3 linked regions of the Drosophila melanogaster genome follow. The protein of the gene in region 3 binds, or shares a complex with, the protein of the main gene of each other region. Each region holds a gene or a part of one and is shown on either strand. Other genes may lie near its edges.

What was found. The genes of interacting proteins can lie anywhere in the genome.
Region 1: Saf6 (region 3) and Sgf29 share a complex: the UniProt entries of both Drosophila melanogaster proteins name them as parts of the spt-Ada-Gcn5 acetyltransferase (SAGA) complex.
Region 2: Saf6 (region 3) and Spt20 share a complex: the UniProt entries of both Drosophila melanogaster proteins name them as parts of the spt-Ada-Gcn5 acetyltransferase (SAGA) complex.

What each region holds. Positions count from the first base shown.
Region 1 is NT_033778.4:21,291,318-21,295,500, forward strand, and holds Sgf29 (SAGA-associated factor 29kDa), read right to left. Parts: upstream 2,330-4,183; 5' UTR 2,180-2,329; intron 2,125-2,179; exon of another isoform or gene 2,098-2,124; 5' UTR 2,043-2,097; coding exon 2,004-2,042; intron 1,949-2,003; coding exon 1,720-1,948; intron 1,668-1,719; coding exon 1,510-1,667; intron 1,441-1,509; coding exon 997-1,440; 3' UTR 922-996; downstream 1-921. Other genes in the region: CG30392 (uncharacterized protein), read right to left, coding at 1-264, 325-542, 610-767; RpL29 (ribosomal protein L29), read left to right, coding at 2,743-2,844, 2,914-3,042; CG9752 (uncharacterized protein), read right to left, coding at 3,118-3,893, 3,950-4,183. UniProt on the Drosophila melanogaster protein: Component of both the SAGA and CHAT histone acetyltransferase complexes, which both predominantly acetylate histone H3.
Region 2 is NT_037436.4:13,501,100-13,506,127, reverse strand, and holds the start of Spt20 (Spt20), read right to left. Parts: upstream 3,422-5,028; 5' UTR 2,780-3,421; coding exon 2,744-2,779; intron 2,673-2,743; coding exon 1,731-2,672; intron 1,673-1,730; coding exon 1-1,672. Other genes in the region: Tgi (Tondu-domain-containing growth inhibitor), read right to left, coding at 4,073-4,845, 4,914-5,028. UniProt on the Drosophila melanogaster protein: Component of the transcription regulatory complex SAGA, a multiprotein complex that activates transcription by remodeling chromatin and mediating histone acetylation and deubiquitination. The SAGA complex predominantly acetylates histone H3.
Region 3 is NT_033779.5:812,354-817,994, forward strand, and holds Saf6 (SAGA factor-like TAF6), read right to left. Parts: upstream 3,598-5,641; 5' UTR 3,479-3,597; coding exon 3,122-3,478; intron 3,069-3,121; coding exon 2,922-3,068; intron 2,869-2,921; coding exon 1,890-2,868; intron 1,832-1,889; coding exon 1,598-1,831; intron 1,541-1,597; coding exon 1,104-1,540; 3' UTR 961-1,103; downstream 1-960. Other genes in the region: Dbp21E2 (DEAD box protein 21E2), read left to right, coding at 1-143, 209-958; Pex12 (peroxin 12), read left to right, coding at 3,730-4,623; CG15880 (uncharacterized protein), read right to left, coding at 4,693-4,829, 4,891-5,545. UniProt on the Drosophila melanogaster protein: Component of the transcription regulatory complex SAGA, a multiprotein complex that activates transcription by remodeling chromatin and mediating histone acetylation and deubiquitination. The SAGA complex predominantly acetylates histone H3.

The DNA of each region.
Region 1 (4,183 bases), on a different chromosome or scaffold from region 3:
AGAGGTCTTCTGTGCGATCGTAGTTGGTTCTCATATGCTTCAGCATGGAAGGCAGGTTCTCTTTGGCCGCCTCGACATCGGAGCACACTTTCTTGAGAAGATCTCCCCTAGTGGGCATCGCGTACATAGCCAGGCGCGCTCCTTTGCGGATGAGGAATGAGTGATGCTTGCCCAGGGTGTCATCGTAGGCCTCCTTGCACACGTCCACAGTCTTTTGGTCGTCGGGTATCGCCTGGATCCGATTGAGAAACTCGTAGACAAAGTCTAGATAAGAAGAAACCAATCAATTAGCCACTGTGGCAGTTATATGCGCATAACGCTCACCAAGACCGCGATGAAGACGTAGCAGCGTTCGACTGCCAGACACGTAACCCTTCTGAGTAAGCAACTGGGCCTCCTTCTCGTAATCCAGCATGGTTCTGAAGGTATTAAAGTGTTCCTGCTCCTCCGCGTCCTTGGCTCTCAGGGCGTATAAGATATCTATTTTACTGCGCACATCGCTGCTGACAAAACTGAAGACACTGCCCATGAGCTGGAAGAACCTAATGAACACCGAAAGCCCAATAGAGCACCACTAAAAAACATAAACATCATAATCACTCAGTTTACTTCATTATTTCCTCGTAGGCTGCCAAGTATGCGTCTAATTGTACGTCATCCTCGTCCAGAAGGCTGGTTTCGAACAAATTAGACACTTTGAGGATATCAAAACAGTTTCCATTTTCCGCCGTGCCATTGGTCTGCGTCGCTAAGCTCGTTTTACTCATCTTATAAGCCTGCCTTTCCCCTTTGTTTTCCTACAAACTTTAAAGTCTATTTATTTTTTTTAGGAAATCAATGTAACCGTTCTCCAAAAAATCCGGTATTAAAATACCACCCTGAAATTACTTTCTTCTTATTCCAGACAGAAACCAGTCTATTGTGAATTGAATACAATTTTAATTGGAGCTATTATTACAATTACATTTAATTCTTAAAGTTAAGATAATACATTTTTTATGCTGATGATAGATTCCCGCTGCCACTGCCAGCCCCCTTTTTCGTTGGACGATATGCAATCACATAGCGCTGTGCGACCGGCAAGGGTTCGGCATAGCCATTCGTGTACGATGAATCCTCGAATAGCACCTCGTAATCCTCGGTGGCGGTTTGCGGCAGGCGATGGACAATGGCCTTGTAGAAACAGGTGGTCTGTGGATATAGCGCCATTACCACTGTGTCCTTGGGGAAGAGGGCGTGACCATCGGTCTCAGGATTTGCACGCATTAGAGGCAGTGGGATGACCTTTCGCTTGCTCAGCACATGGCGATCCTTTTGCTCCTCGTCAATGTCAATTACGTCGTATTTGTTTTGACGGTGAAGGAACTGCACCACTTCCGCCAGGATCCAGTTCTCCTCCTCATCAATTCCCTTAGCTAATGCGGCAACATTGTCGCCAACCTATACAGTGGCGTCCGATTAGTCAGATCATCATCCCAGCTTCTTTGTCCAATCAAAATGAATGCTTACCTTGGCCACATAGTTCCCCTCGGCGGGAATGGCTCCACATAGAGCTGGTGCTCGTTCTCCTAGTTTGCCAACGAATAACGGCAACGTTTGCGCTGAGAGCTGCACCATTTTCATAAGGGCGCCCCGTCGAATGGCCTCCTTATTTCCAGCGTTGCGAGCTGTGGAATATGCGAGATTAAATCCTGTTTATACATCCCATCACTAACCCACCTTGGATGCGCCTCTCATTGCGAATGCTTCGAATCTCGTGGATTTTCGCCAGTGCGGCTCGGATTGTGGCCTCCTCCTGCGCAGCCTCCGTTAAACTGGCCTTGAGCAGGGGCTTAACCTTCTGATTGGTGGCGTGCAGAGATCGCACCAGACTAGCAATGGAGTTTTCCGCACGACGACGCTCCTCGTCCACATTGTGAATGTTTTGTTGAATGTCCTTCAGGCGATCCTGTAAATGCCATATAAATATAGTATATATCGACATTTATTGTTAACATCTTTACCTGAATCTGTTGGGCGGCACTCTCCGCAGTCAGTGGCATGTTGTTTCGATATTATAACAATATAATAAATTTGTTTTTTGAACACTTTGTTTACCTACGCAATGAAAACAAAAACAAGCATAAGCGTAAAGTCGACAACGCGTTAGTATTAACTATGCGATAGTTTTATATTTTACCTCAGTATTTTTTTAATCTTAGCAAATTTTATTTTACAGAGTAAAACAGAGTAATTATTGTTAAGATTTTTGTACCGTATAATCTCATTATTTGACTTTAGTGGATCTTTTTCTCAAACTCGAATATTTACTTTTCAAAGTTGTTTACGTTTCTTACATTGGAGATGGAAGCAAGTGCGCCTAACAGCACGCAGATAACAGCACGATATCTTCACGTGGTTGGCGTTATTTAGTCCCTTTTCTGCGCTCTATGACAGCCTCTCTGGCTTTCCCTTCTTTTCCATCGCGTTTCCGTAAGTGTGCTCCGCGTTTTTCCAATTGGCTATTTTTATTTATAATATCTTCAATTGCAGCTAGGAATTCCAGTGTGCGAAAAACGTAGGTGCCTAATACACGAGAAATGCAACGAAAATTTCAACAGTTGTTGGCTTTTTGTTCAACTGGCGTTGGCTAAAAGTGAACTCCAAGTGTTAACCCCAAGCTAAAATTATAATGGCGAACATTTTTTCTGTTTTCATGTGCCGCCCCATCAACGAATCTTTGGATACCCGGAGTAGTTTAAGATGGCCAAGTCCAAGAACCACACAAATCACAACCAGAACAAGAAGGCCCATCGTAATGGCATCAAGCGCCCGCTGCGCAAACGCCACGAGTCCACTCTGGGTGTAAGTATTCAAAAATATGCATATTTAGTTAGCATCTAGAGTTGATTTTAACAACCTTCCCGTCTTTAGATGGATGTGAAATTTCTGATCAACCAGCGCTACGCACGCAAGGGAAACCTTTCCCGCGAGGAGTCCGTGAAGCGCTACAACGAGCGCATCGCTTCCCAGAAGGGCAAGCCAAAGCCTGTTACTCTGTAGATGATTGCCCCGCGTGTGGATAATTAAAGGACAATTCAGTTTAACAAAGAACCGTCTTTATTTGTGTTGCCGTCGTTAGTAGTAGATGCTCAGCACCTTGTGGAAGGGAATGTGCTCCAGGTCGGCATTGTGCCGACGCCGGTAGTCCCACAGATATTGGTCGATCACAATGGAGTTGACGTTGTCCAGTGAGATTTCGGGGTGCTGCTCCTTGAGTATCTTCACCACAGCATCCCTAACTTGTTCGATGATGTATATAGATGCGCCGCGTATCTCCACCTCTCGGGGATCGCCGTTCTCCAGAATAGTATCCGTCTTTAGGAACTCCATTAGCTCACTGGTGTACTCCAAACTGCCGAAGTGCACTAGCACCTGGGGAATTCGGTAGTCAGCGAACATGGTTATCTGATCGATGTCATTAAAGAACCCAAGTCCCTGACCTCTGTAGCAGGACCACACATCGCCCACTAGGATTTGCGCTCGTTTTAGGATGGAAACTCGCTTTCCAGCAAACTCAGCCTCATCGCGAAAACAGGGAAACTCCTCCACAACGAGATCCAGCAAGCGAACTGCCGATTTCTCCGCCTTCTTGATAACATTCTCAAAACTGCCGTCGTACTTGTCGATCAGAACTTTTCCCACTTCATGGAGCGATTCCAGACGCTTTTGGAGCAGCGGAATCACTGTCTCGCCATCGTCAGAGCGGAAAATGTTCTCCACGGTTTTCAGATCAATCTGGGAATAGAACTTGGGATTGATCACATCCACGCCTTCCTTGATGGCTCTCTTAATCGCAGCACACAGCGCAAAGTAGCCGGTATAGCCATCGACCTTATATTTGGTGTAGTTATCTGCGGAAGATTACCATTGAAGATAGTGGATGCTGCTATAAATATCAATTACTCACTGGGGGTCCAAAAGCAAAAGTTCAGGGTGTCCAACACAAAGACCCAGTCGGCTGCTTTGGAATAATCCTCCGGCTGATTTGGATTGGGATGTAATTCGTGCTGCGAGAAGTTTTCCACAGCAATGCGTTTTTCTATTAGGCCTTTTACGATTTCCTGGGTCAGTTTCTCAATGCCTGCAGGCAGAATACGAACATGCTTGGCATTTTCTACGATATAGGCTCCAGATTCCCGGG
Region 2 (5,028 bases), on a different chromosome or scaffold from region 3:
TTATTTGTTGTCGCGGCAGTGCAACATGATGCACTGTGGCGGATAACTGCTGTCCCGCTTGTTGTGTCTGCTGTTGTTGTTGCGATTGTTGCTGCTGATTGGCAACAACAACGACTTGCTGCTGCTGCTGTTGTTGTTGCTGCTGCATTTGAGCTTGACGCTGCTGCTGCTGTTGTTGCTGCTGCAAGAGGATCCGCTGCTCATTCGTCAATCCCGTGTGAGTCACAATTGGCATATGCCCGGGTATCAAATGCGTGATTTTGACCGCCTTACGTCCCTCCTCGGTGAAGATCTCGCGGAACTGTTGAATGTATCGATTGGCATGCACCCGAGTGCCCAGCGCAAAGCGGCACGACTCGCCGTTTCGCTCACCCTCCCGGTAATCTCGGTCCACATAGAGCTCGCCGAGATACTCTGCATCGGAGGGGCGCTGGAAAATGGACAGCTTTATGTGGTATAGAGCCCGCCGGCCTTCACTCGCCTCCCGCTCCGTCTCAAGAATGTATTCCTCGACCAGCTGCGGTTGGAAGTTATGACGACAGTTTGGCTGGCAACCGTCCTTGCAGGCCTCACTGAATTCGTTAAGGGGCTCGTAGGCCTTGGCATACTTTTCCACGCTGATCACGTGCTCGGGCACCTTCAGATTGGCGGGATACTCCAGTGTGGGCGGACGAATGGGCCGTATGACCTCGTGTGGTCGCCGGGGCACCTTCGATGTGAACGAAGAGAGCATGGCCCCCACCAGCGGATTGTTGGTGGGCGCCGTGGCCGGTGTGGCATTGGCGCCACCACTGCTACTTCCCGTCCGCGGTCGCTGGCGCAGGCGAGCCAGGTAATCGCACAATTCCAGTCCGTGATGGTGAGTGAATTGGTCCAACTTGCGCTTCCGATTGATAGCCGTTTGGGTGAACTTCTTCATCTGGCGCCGCAGCTCGTGGGAGTTGTACAGCTGACGCTGATGCTGGGAGTTGATGGCCTGCCGCCCTATGCTGGGATCCGGCTCCAGACACAGCGGCTCCGCCGTGGCCAACACCAGCTGGCTCTCCAGGGCGAGCTTGTCCTCCGCCGGCAACTGGCTGCCCATTTGCTGCACTTCCGCGAATAGGGTGGCGTTCGTGGGCCTGAGCAGGATGTGCTTCATATCACAGATATTCGTTGAGGTGGCAAATGTCTGGCGGAAGTCGCGGATCTGGGCGATAACGCAGCCGGCATAGAAGACGCTAGGCTTGGCGTACACCCGTGTTCCCTCGCCATCCGACAAACTGACGGTCTCCGCTACGAGTAGATCCATTAAAAACTCCGGCAGCATTTCACGATCGATGCATTGCAGCAGCAAATCGTTCTCGTAGGGCCACCGAAGCACCTCCACGAGTCCAAAATCGTGTTTGGCGTGACCCGCCTCCGTCTTGGATTGACTTTCGTCCTGGGCTAGCGGCTTGGGACGACTCCGATGACTGCCCGTTCCCGTACCCAATCCCGCAGCATCGCTCGAGGTCTCGTCCTTGTCCGTGGGGGACCATTCGTTTGTTTGCGGATTTAGCACCATGTGCTCGTCATAATGCAGGGCCAGCGAGTATCCCTTATTGCCGGGATACAAGTTGACCACAATCGTGTTGAGCTTCTCCCGATCCACCAACCGCTCCAGTGTAAAGGATCGAGTGCGCTGCTTTAGCTGAAAGTGATAAGAGTCCTTACATAAGGTTTCCGCTTTTGATTGGCTCAACACTTACCCCTGTCTCGGCAAAGTAGTTTAGGTCGTTGCTCAGCAGTTGCAGGTACAGGTCCCTTATTTTCTCGTGCAGATTAAAGAACTTGCTGTTGCCCGACTGGCAGACGGATGAAGGTGGCTTGCTGTTGCTATTGGAGGAGGCAGCGCCGGCGCCAGCGCGCGCTGATTGCGACGACGAGGTGGCTGTGGAGACTGATGCGGCGGGTATAGCTGAGCTGCGACTAGAGGAGCTGCTCTCCTTGCTACTGCTATTGGACTTCTGGCGCTTGCTGGGCGACGACGTGGGCGATGCCAGGACATGGTGATTGTGCGTCTGGTGGAGGTGATGATGGTGCAGGTGGTGGCCGCCTCCACTGGCTGTTGAGTTGGCGGAGGGTGGCCGCTTCTCGGACTTCTTGCTGGACACACTGGCCGCTCCCGTTGAGCTATTGCTTAGACTGGAGTTAACGCCCGGCGGTGTCGACAGCAGAAGATCGGGCACCACCGGCGACGGCGACGTGATTGAGTTGAAGTTCGACATCGTTGTGGTGGAGGATGAGCACGAGGAGGGCGACGGAGCAATTGCAGTGGGCAGGCCGCTGGGCGTGGCCGAGGTCGGCTCCGTGAGCAGGCTGCCCAGTGAGCCGCCAGTGCCCTCGGTGGGGGACTCGTCGTCATCGAAGATACAAATGGGCGGCTGGGCAGGAATCTGTGGTATAGCCTGCAATAGGCTGGTCTCCAGGTACGATTTGCTGCTCGAGGAGGCGAACTGCTGCTGCTGGAGCGTGGGATGCAGCTGATGGTAGGACTGCTGCGGCTGCAGCTGCGGCGAGGATCCAGACGTGCCGTACTGGACGAACTGCGTCTGGTGGACACCCGAACCGTGGGCGTGGACCGCTAGGCCCTGGACATGGTCCGCGTTGCTGGAACCCTTTAACTTTTTGAGCGTGTCATTTATAATAAACTGTCGAAAAATAAAGTGTAAAATGGGAATTAATCGTATTCAGGCTGCATGAAAAATGCCACAGTTCTTACGTCGGCTTCTTGGCATGAGGAGTCCAGGCTTTGCATGGTGGTGCCAGCGGATTGCTAGGGGAGATCCAACGGAGGATGGCGCACCCAATTACCGACGACATCCAAGCACCAGTCTACGAACAATCCTGGCCAGGATCGGCGGCATTCGCATTGCGCTAGCAGGTGTCCGTGTTGCCAGTGAACGTCGAATTACGAATTTCTAGGACCGCAGACGCAGGGCTCCGTTGTTGTCTCCTACTTTCGCTGGCTGCTGCTGCTGCTGCTGCTGTCCATCGGTTAGTTTCGCCACACTCAGCACTCGGCTGTGCCGCATCAGGATCGTTTTGGGGTGCTCCTCGGTCCGTCTGTGTGACGAATCGCTGCACTGGAGGACACTGAGATCGGATCCCGATGGCGATTACTGCGGTTTCTTCACTCTTTTTCCACTTCCACTGCTGCTGCTGCTTTGCGTGACATTTTCTCTCTGCGCCCCTCTGCCGACGAACTCTCTTTCTGGCGCTGCTGCTCCGTGAATTTGCAAGGTCGCGCGCTCTGCTGCGGTTATGGGGCGAACAGTGGGCTGGTTCTTTAATGATACGCCGAGGATTGCTCGCTTTTAATTGTTTTAAAACTTTGTTTTATGCTTTTTTTTGCAATGTAAATGTACTGTACGATTCGTGCCGTGCGAATGCCAACAATCGTTATCGTTCGCTGTGAATGGCATTGTCGCCGTTCCGTCTGCCGTTAGTGGTGTGTGCACATTGGCTGCCCATGCACTGTGTGCTGTTAGGCGCGCGCTGTTAACGCTCTGTTAGCCGCCCAACAGTCATTTGAAAATTCAAAATATGCAATTCAAAATCTGAAATTTTGCAGTTTATTTCCCACTTTCGGTGAATGAATAGACAGACTTTGTAGGATTGTTTACTTATGTTTAATAGGTATATTATTAAGGATTAGTCTCTACCAACTAAGCGTTAAGAATACAAAATTTTGTCACTTGTACGTATACACTTTGTCATACACATTTATCCATATATATGTAAATATTCATATATATATATATATAATTATATCCGCGCGCTAACCGTTATCAATATTCAATAAAATCATTATATCAGAAACTTGTAATACACTCGCAGTTGAAGAATTTCCGTTCACATCAGCATGAGATCTTTAAACGTTAATTGTGTAGTTTGAAATATTTATAATAAAAACAGCTCTTGAGTTGAATCGTTGAGGATCAGGGGTTGCTTTTGGGTTGGGTTGTGTTGAGTTCTGTTGGGAATTGGGATCGGGATCGGGATCGGGTTGTGTGCGGGTTGGTGGGTGATTTGCTCGCTTGCTCCTCCTCTACTCCTTGTGCCCGCCCTGCAGCTTCTTCCAAGTTTCGCCCAGCGCCTTGGCAAAGTGGTCGTCCACCGAGGCTTCAGTCTTGGTGAATATCGAGATATTCGTGGACGAGGTGGGCGAAGCGGGCGGCGTCTGCGTCGAGGAGGCAGCCACGGCCGCCAGTCCCGGTTCAGCCTTCACCCGAATGATGGCCGGCATGCTGGGCGTGGGCGTGGGAATCTGCGACGGCGTCGGATTCGGAGTTGGTGTCGGTGTCAAAGTCGGCGCCACAACGGTGGTTCCGGCTATTCCGTAAGCCGGCGGTGGAGGCGGTGGTGTGTTGTATCTCGGCGGCGTGTGGTGTGGCGTGTCCAGGATCCGCCTGCCCGCCACCGCTGCCTCCATCACCTGGCTGACGGCCGTGGGTAGCGCTGGTGCCGATCCCGTGGCCGAAGGTGGCGGCGATGGCGGCGTTTGGGTGCGATGCAGTGCCAGCGACAGGGGAAGCGGTTCCTCCTGCGGCGGCGGCAGTTCCGGCTGCAGCGATTCGGGCTCCAGAATGACCCATCCCGACTTGGCCAGCGGCGAGCGTTGCTGCTGGTAGTGCTGCGATGCCGCTGTGCTGGTTGATGAAGGCAGTCCGTAGGCCAGTGGCGAAACCTGCTGCTTAGGTGTACCACTTGGCGAGGGCGTGGGTGTTGGCGTAGGCGTCGGTGACTTCTTGGCGAACAGGGCAGCATAGTTCTCGCCCAGTGAGCGTCGGAAGTGCTCGTCAATGTCGCACATCGCCATATCTGCAAGGCAAATCAAAGCATCAGGTTAGTATGATCGTTGACACTAATGTGCATATATGACTTCTCACCTGTAGAGTGGGCCTGCTCCGGTGGTTCTCGCTTGGGTGGAGCCTGGGTAATGACGCTGGGTCGACTGTTGGCCGCGTAGTTGGTCCCAGGCAAGGGTTCGCGATAGGGTGGCGG
Region 3 (5,641 bases):
CCACTCTGGGTGCACTTAGCAAACTGGTGACCACTGGCATCTACCGCATGGAGCAGGTTCGTCATCTGGTTCTAGACGAAGCGGACACCCTCCTAGATGATACGTTCACAGACAAACTTTCCTACTTCCTCAGGAGATTTCCCGTAAGTCATTCTAGGCGATTACCAAAGGAATGGCTTCAATCAGCTTGTTTTTTCTTATTCGACAGTTCCACTTGGTGCAAAAGGAGGATGCTGGCACCCAGATGATCCTGGCCTCGGCCACCATGCCCACGAACACCAGAGAGATCCTTCACAAAGTCATAGACGTGGACACCATCCGTGAGGTCGTCAGTCCGCACCTGCACCGACTGATGTCTCATGTGACGCAGAAGTTCCTGCGGCTGTCGAAGGCCGATCGGCCCGCCACACTTCTGTCACTCGTGAAGCATGATCTTGCCAAACGTCGCCCTCTTATCGTGTTCAGCAACAAGTCCACCACCAGTGACTTCGTTTCCATCTTCCTGAACAACAGCGGAGTGAACTGCTTAAATCTGAATGGGGATATGCTGATGAAGATCCGTCTTGGCCGCTTCGAGCAGTTCCAAAACGGTCACTGCGACGTCCTTTCCACCACCGATGTGGGAAGTCGTGGCCTGGATACCACACGAGCTCGACATGTGGTCAACTTTGACTTTCCGCTCCACGTCTCCGATTATATCCATCGTTGTGGCAGGATCGGTCGGGTGGGCAACATGGACAAGGCGCTAGTCACGAACCTGATATCATCGCGCCGCGAAATCGACGTCGTCCAGCGAATTGAGCACGCAGCTCGAACAGGTGGACTTCTGCCGGATGTGAATGCCAACATCCGAAACATTATCAACAAGCGGATTGTGGCGGAGATGAAAGCTGCAGGAATGCCCGTGCCCGCTTTGGGCTCACTAAATGGACATACGCCTCAGGAAGAAGCCTTTTAGTTCTGTGTTTTTATGTATTACGAGTAAAGTTGTATCACCTTTCGGAAGACCGAAGAGGAAGTCTAAAGTAAACGAAGAGTTTTATTGAGATCCCCAGGTCCTCCTGGACCTCCAGAAGGTCTTATAATACTTTCCCAAGTCCCTTTCAGATCCTTAGGTAGTGATAGCCACTGATGGGCGACCACTTTCTCACGTTGGTCAGGGGCTTAAAGAGTTTTCGTTTGGCGATCAGGATGTCGGAGCTGGCACCGCCACCCCCACCACCGTTCGCTGCCGACGAAGGCGAGTCTTCGGAGTGGGGAACAGTCGCAACCTTCGGCTTCAGCAGCACCGGGCGGCATCCTGCAAACTTAAAGCGGATGTTGCCCGCGCAGTTGAGCTGAAGATTTGGTGACTGAAGGTCGGGGAAAGCCTCGCAGAGCGTAGGCTTCGGTTTGAGTGCCTTGCTAGGATCGTCTCCGTGGCACATGGCTGCCGCAAGAGTACTCCATTCCAACCGACGCACTCCCGGCACTGATTCTATTCTGTAAGCGGGTTGTTTGGCCTTCACATACCGTCTGGTTACCATCTTTTCGTAGGCTCCTGCAATGATTTTTAGTTACTTAACCGCTTTTCATGGAACACATGGGTGTTTCTTACGCGCATAGTGGACCAAGAAGGGCTGCAGAGCAGCACCGCATCCGTACTCCAGCCATTCATACAGGTATACGTCATCATGACCGCCAAGGAAGATGGCAGCCGGAGCCAGATCCGGCCACAGGCTATCCGGGATTTCCTCGACGCGCAGTTTGTAGATGTAGGGAATAAACTCACGAAAGGCATATTCTCCCAGGGCAATGAGACCGCGCACTGCTCTACTGATATACCTAAAGTCTTAATTAAGAAATCCAAAGATAAGGATCCAGGCTAACAAATTGTAAGGATGATTTACCTCTCTCACTGCTGACGTGGCGACCTTCGAAGAATCTCGCTAGGCGTCTCTTGATCAAAAACAGGCACTCTGCATGTAGGTAACCACTTTGAGATGCCAGCTGTCCTATAGTTTCACACAGCTCGTCCACCAGGCCATTGCCGACTGGACAGGCAAAGTAGCTGGATAGGTGTTCCGCCTCCGGCTGAGGATTCAATTCCTCCTCCTCCGATTGCAGCTTGTAGATTGTGTGTTCCATGGTGCTCTCACCCGGAAACATCTGGGGTTCTTGCTCCTGTTTCTCTACTCCCATGACCTCCGGATTTTCCTGGGTTTCCGGATTATGGCACTGGTCTGGCTCAACCTTTAGTTCTTCTTCAAACTCCATTTTGATGGAGGTGGTTTGTCCCGGATCTGGGTCGACGTGTGGAGCTTTGATAGTTTCGTAAGGTGCCATTAGCTGGCTGACCAGTACCTCGGCCAGGTTGAAGTACTCCGGCCGGCAGGCATTGTGATTAGCAGTGGCGTTGTAGTTGCATGCTCGGAGCAGTCGCCAGCATCGCTGGCTCAAATGGTCCTGCTGCTTAAAGGCTAGCAACTGGACCATCTTACTCACAATCACTCGGTAGATAGATCCCATCAGGGGTGTCTGAAAAGCATGGCAGACGGCGGCCGTCTGGGATTTGCTGTCCGCAAAAAGGGCTGCCGTCACAAGACTCTGGACACACTGTCTTAGTTGGTCCATGTGCTTATCCTCCACTGGGCAGATGCTCTGAAAGTCTGCATCATCAGGTGTGCACAGATTGACTTCCTTCTGAAACTCCGCGCTCAGCTCGAAGATCTTATCCGAGTGAAAGTAAAAACTGCCGTCATAGTCGATCCGGTCCCAGTCGCTGTCCATCGCACCCAGCATAGGCGGCACATCGGCATCTTTTAGCACTTCGTTCACCAGGTCGTATGTCACCACTCCGCCCGAGTGGCGCGAGTATATTTTGACATTCTGAGAGATCAAGAGGTTAGAGGGATTAAAGAGGTGTATTACGGTCGACTTACATTGATCAGCTCCCAGACTTTGTAGGAGGCATCTTCCGCCAAACGGGCGCACACATCCTGGGAGAGTTCCACATCGGTCTGGTCGTGCTGCTCCCAAAAGATCTTGATGCTGCGCGGATCGAAACCAGCATAGCTCTTCTGATGACCCTACAGTAAAGAGAGCTTGTACCATAAGAGGGCCCTGAGATTGGCATCCTTACCATTCGACTGGAGTTGCCAGAGGCTTCTGCGCCCGCGATGCCGCCTGCAAGTCCGTGCCCACCACTTCCTGCTACCGCAAATGAGGCGTCAAACAGATTGTAGTTACCCAGACTAGATGTTGGCGTGGTGGGCGTTGTCACCATGTTTAGGTGAGTGGGCGTGGCCGGCAGGCTGCCCACTGCAACGCCCCCGCTCACTGCGGATGCGATGGAGGATGATGCGGATGCCGACAGGGAATTCTTTCCAGTCAACTCCAATTTCGCCGACTTAGATCGCGACTTAGTGGACTTTTTGCTGACTTTGCTGTGCGATGACTTGTTCAGCTCGTCAGTATTGCTGGCGCCAGAGGTTTTCATCTTCTTGGTTTTGTATAATTCATAAATGTATATATTTTCAACAGTTGGTAAATAAACAACGAAGCTGCACCACAAAATAAACAAATCTTGCCAGATTATTAACCCAACTATCGATGGTGCCAACGACTTATCGATATATTGATGAGCACTCGACTGTTTTCAAGCCAAGCCCGATAACACCAGTACTGATAAGAATAACAACATAATTGGTATTCGAATTTAATTCCATTTATTTAAATGCTATAAACACAATGGCAGAAGCGGCAAATGTGCGCCAGAACCTTCAAAATGTGCCGTCGATCTTCGAAATTTCAGCGTCAGAGACGCTGGACAACCTGATTTACCCGGCACTGAGCAAGATATTCGACTACTTTGGACTACGCCTGGACTTTAAACTATGGGGGAGTTTGAGGATTCAGGAGGAGCTGTCGCCATTGCTGACTTGGCTGCTGCAGTACCTGTATCTGCGCAAGAGGGCCTCCTCTTTCGGTGAGAGCTTTTACGGATTGCAAAGGACGGTCACAACCACTGGGGATCTGCTGAACCGCAGGCAGCAGTTCGCCTCTGCCACACTGCTAACCTTCATGCCTTACGTGGAGCGGAAGCTAAGGACCAGGATCACCAGGCACGAGGACACCAGTCCCTGGGAGCAACGCCTTCTAAGCGCATTCCATGCTTTCCATGCCGCCAAGGCGGCGCACACATTCTTTTACCTCGTAAAGTACGCCTCAAACCACTCGCCCATCTTCAGATTGTTGGGGCTGACCCTTCGCTATCCCAGCGAACCTCCCAAAGAGGATCAGTGGACCTACGTGGTCCTAAAGATGCTGGAGGTCTTGGCCTTCTTCCTGCAGTTCGTCCAGTGGTGGTACTCCAACGACCAGCGGCGGAAAGTGGGTGGAACTCTGATAAATCCCGAAGCGATGCCGAGAAAGCAGCTGCCCAAGGAAGTGCAGCAGAGCCTTCCCCAGCGGGGAGAGTGCCCAGTCTGCCTGCTGTCCATCCAGACGCCCACTGCCTGCTCCGTTTCCGGCTACGTCTTTTGCTGGAAGTGCATCGTTAGCCACATGAAGGAGCACGGCACCTGCCCGGTCACCCACTATCCCATCAGTCTGGACGACCTGGTGCGCATCTACGAGACGTAACGTTAAGCATTCCTTTTATGTTTTTTGCTTGTTTTTGTTTAATACATTTTATAAGGAATTGGGAACTGTTTACATCTCGCTGAGGAAGAAACCCAAACGTTGGTCGTAACATATGTAGACGTGGTAGAAGTCAAAGTAGACCGTGCATAGATAGATAAAGAAGCACTCACAGGAGATGAACTCGCCCATACCGAATACGGAGTAGGCTGCAGAGGATCCGGGGATTAGAATTGTAGACATCCTTCCATTCGGTTAGGTTCTACTCACCCAAGGGAAAGCAAAACTTCTGGTGTATAAAGTAAAAAATCCACATGACCACCACCCAGACGTAGTAGGTGAGCACCAGACCGCTCTTCAACCGCAAGGAGAATTCCTCATGCAGCTGCCCAATCCTATCGCTCATATAGTACTTGGCGCACACAAAGGAACCTGCCATGTAAATGGCACACGATACGAATAGCGACAAGGCGATGGTTATGTGCAGCAATGAGTCGCCATCCTCTTGGGGGAAGGTGCCCCATAGCAGTACGCTGGAACTACTGACAGCCATAATGATGGCCATCAGGCAGCCGAAACCTCGGACCGGCCTGCGCAGATTCCTCCGATAGAATCGGAACTGCAGCCATGCACTGGCAATGAGAAATGGGAACTCCAGGTAGCAAGCCAGAGCCCACACTTTGTGCTGAGACTTGGCAGCCGCCGATGTGGAGGGAAAGATGTTGAAGGCATTACAGGTGGTATACGTGGTGGACTGGAAGTCCGTGGTGATGGCCATCACCAGGTTGTACACCATGCAGACGGGCAATTGCAGAAGCCCCAGTGCGAGAATCGGACCAACTGGGATGCGGAAATGCCGCCTCGCCTGCAAATCCTTGATGGAGCTGGGCAACAGCTTGGCTTGATCCTCCACAAAGTGCAGCATTTAAGAGCAGGTTAATCCTAGGACAAGTCGGTCAGACAATCTTACACTTTCTGTTATCCCTCCAGACAAAGTGAGGCACTCGAACAATGACACATA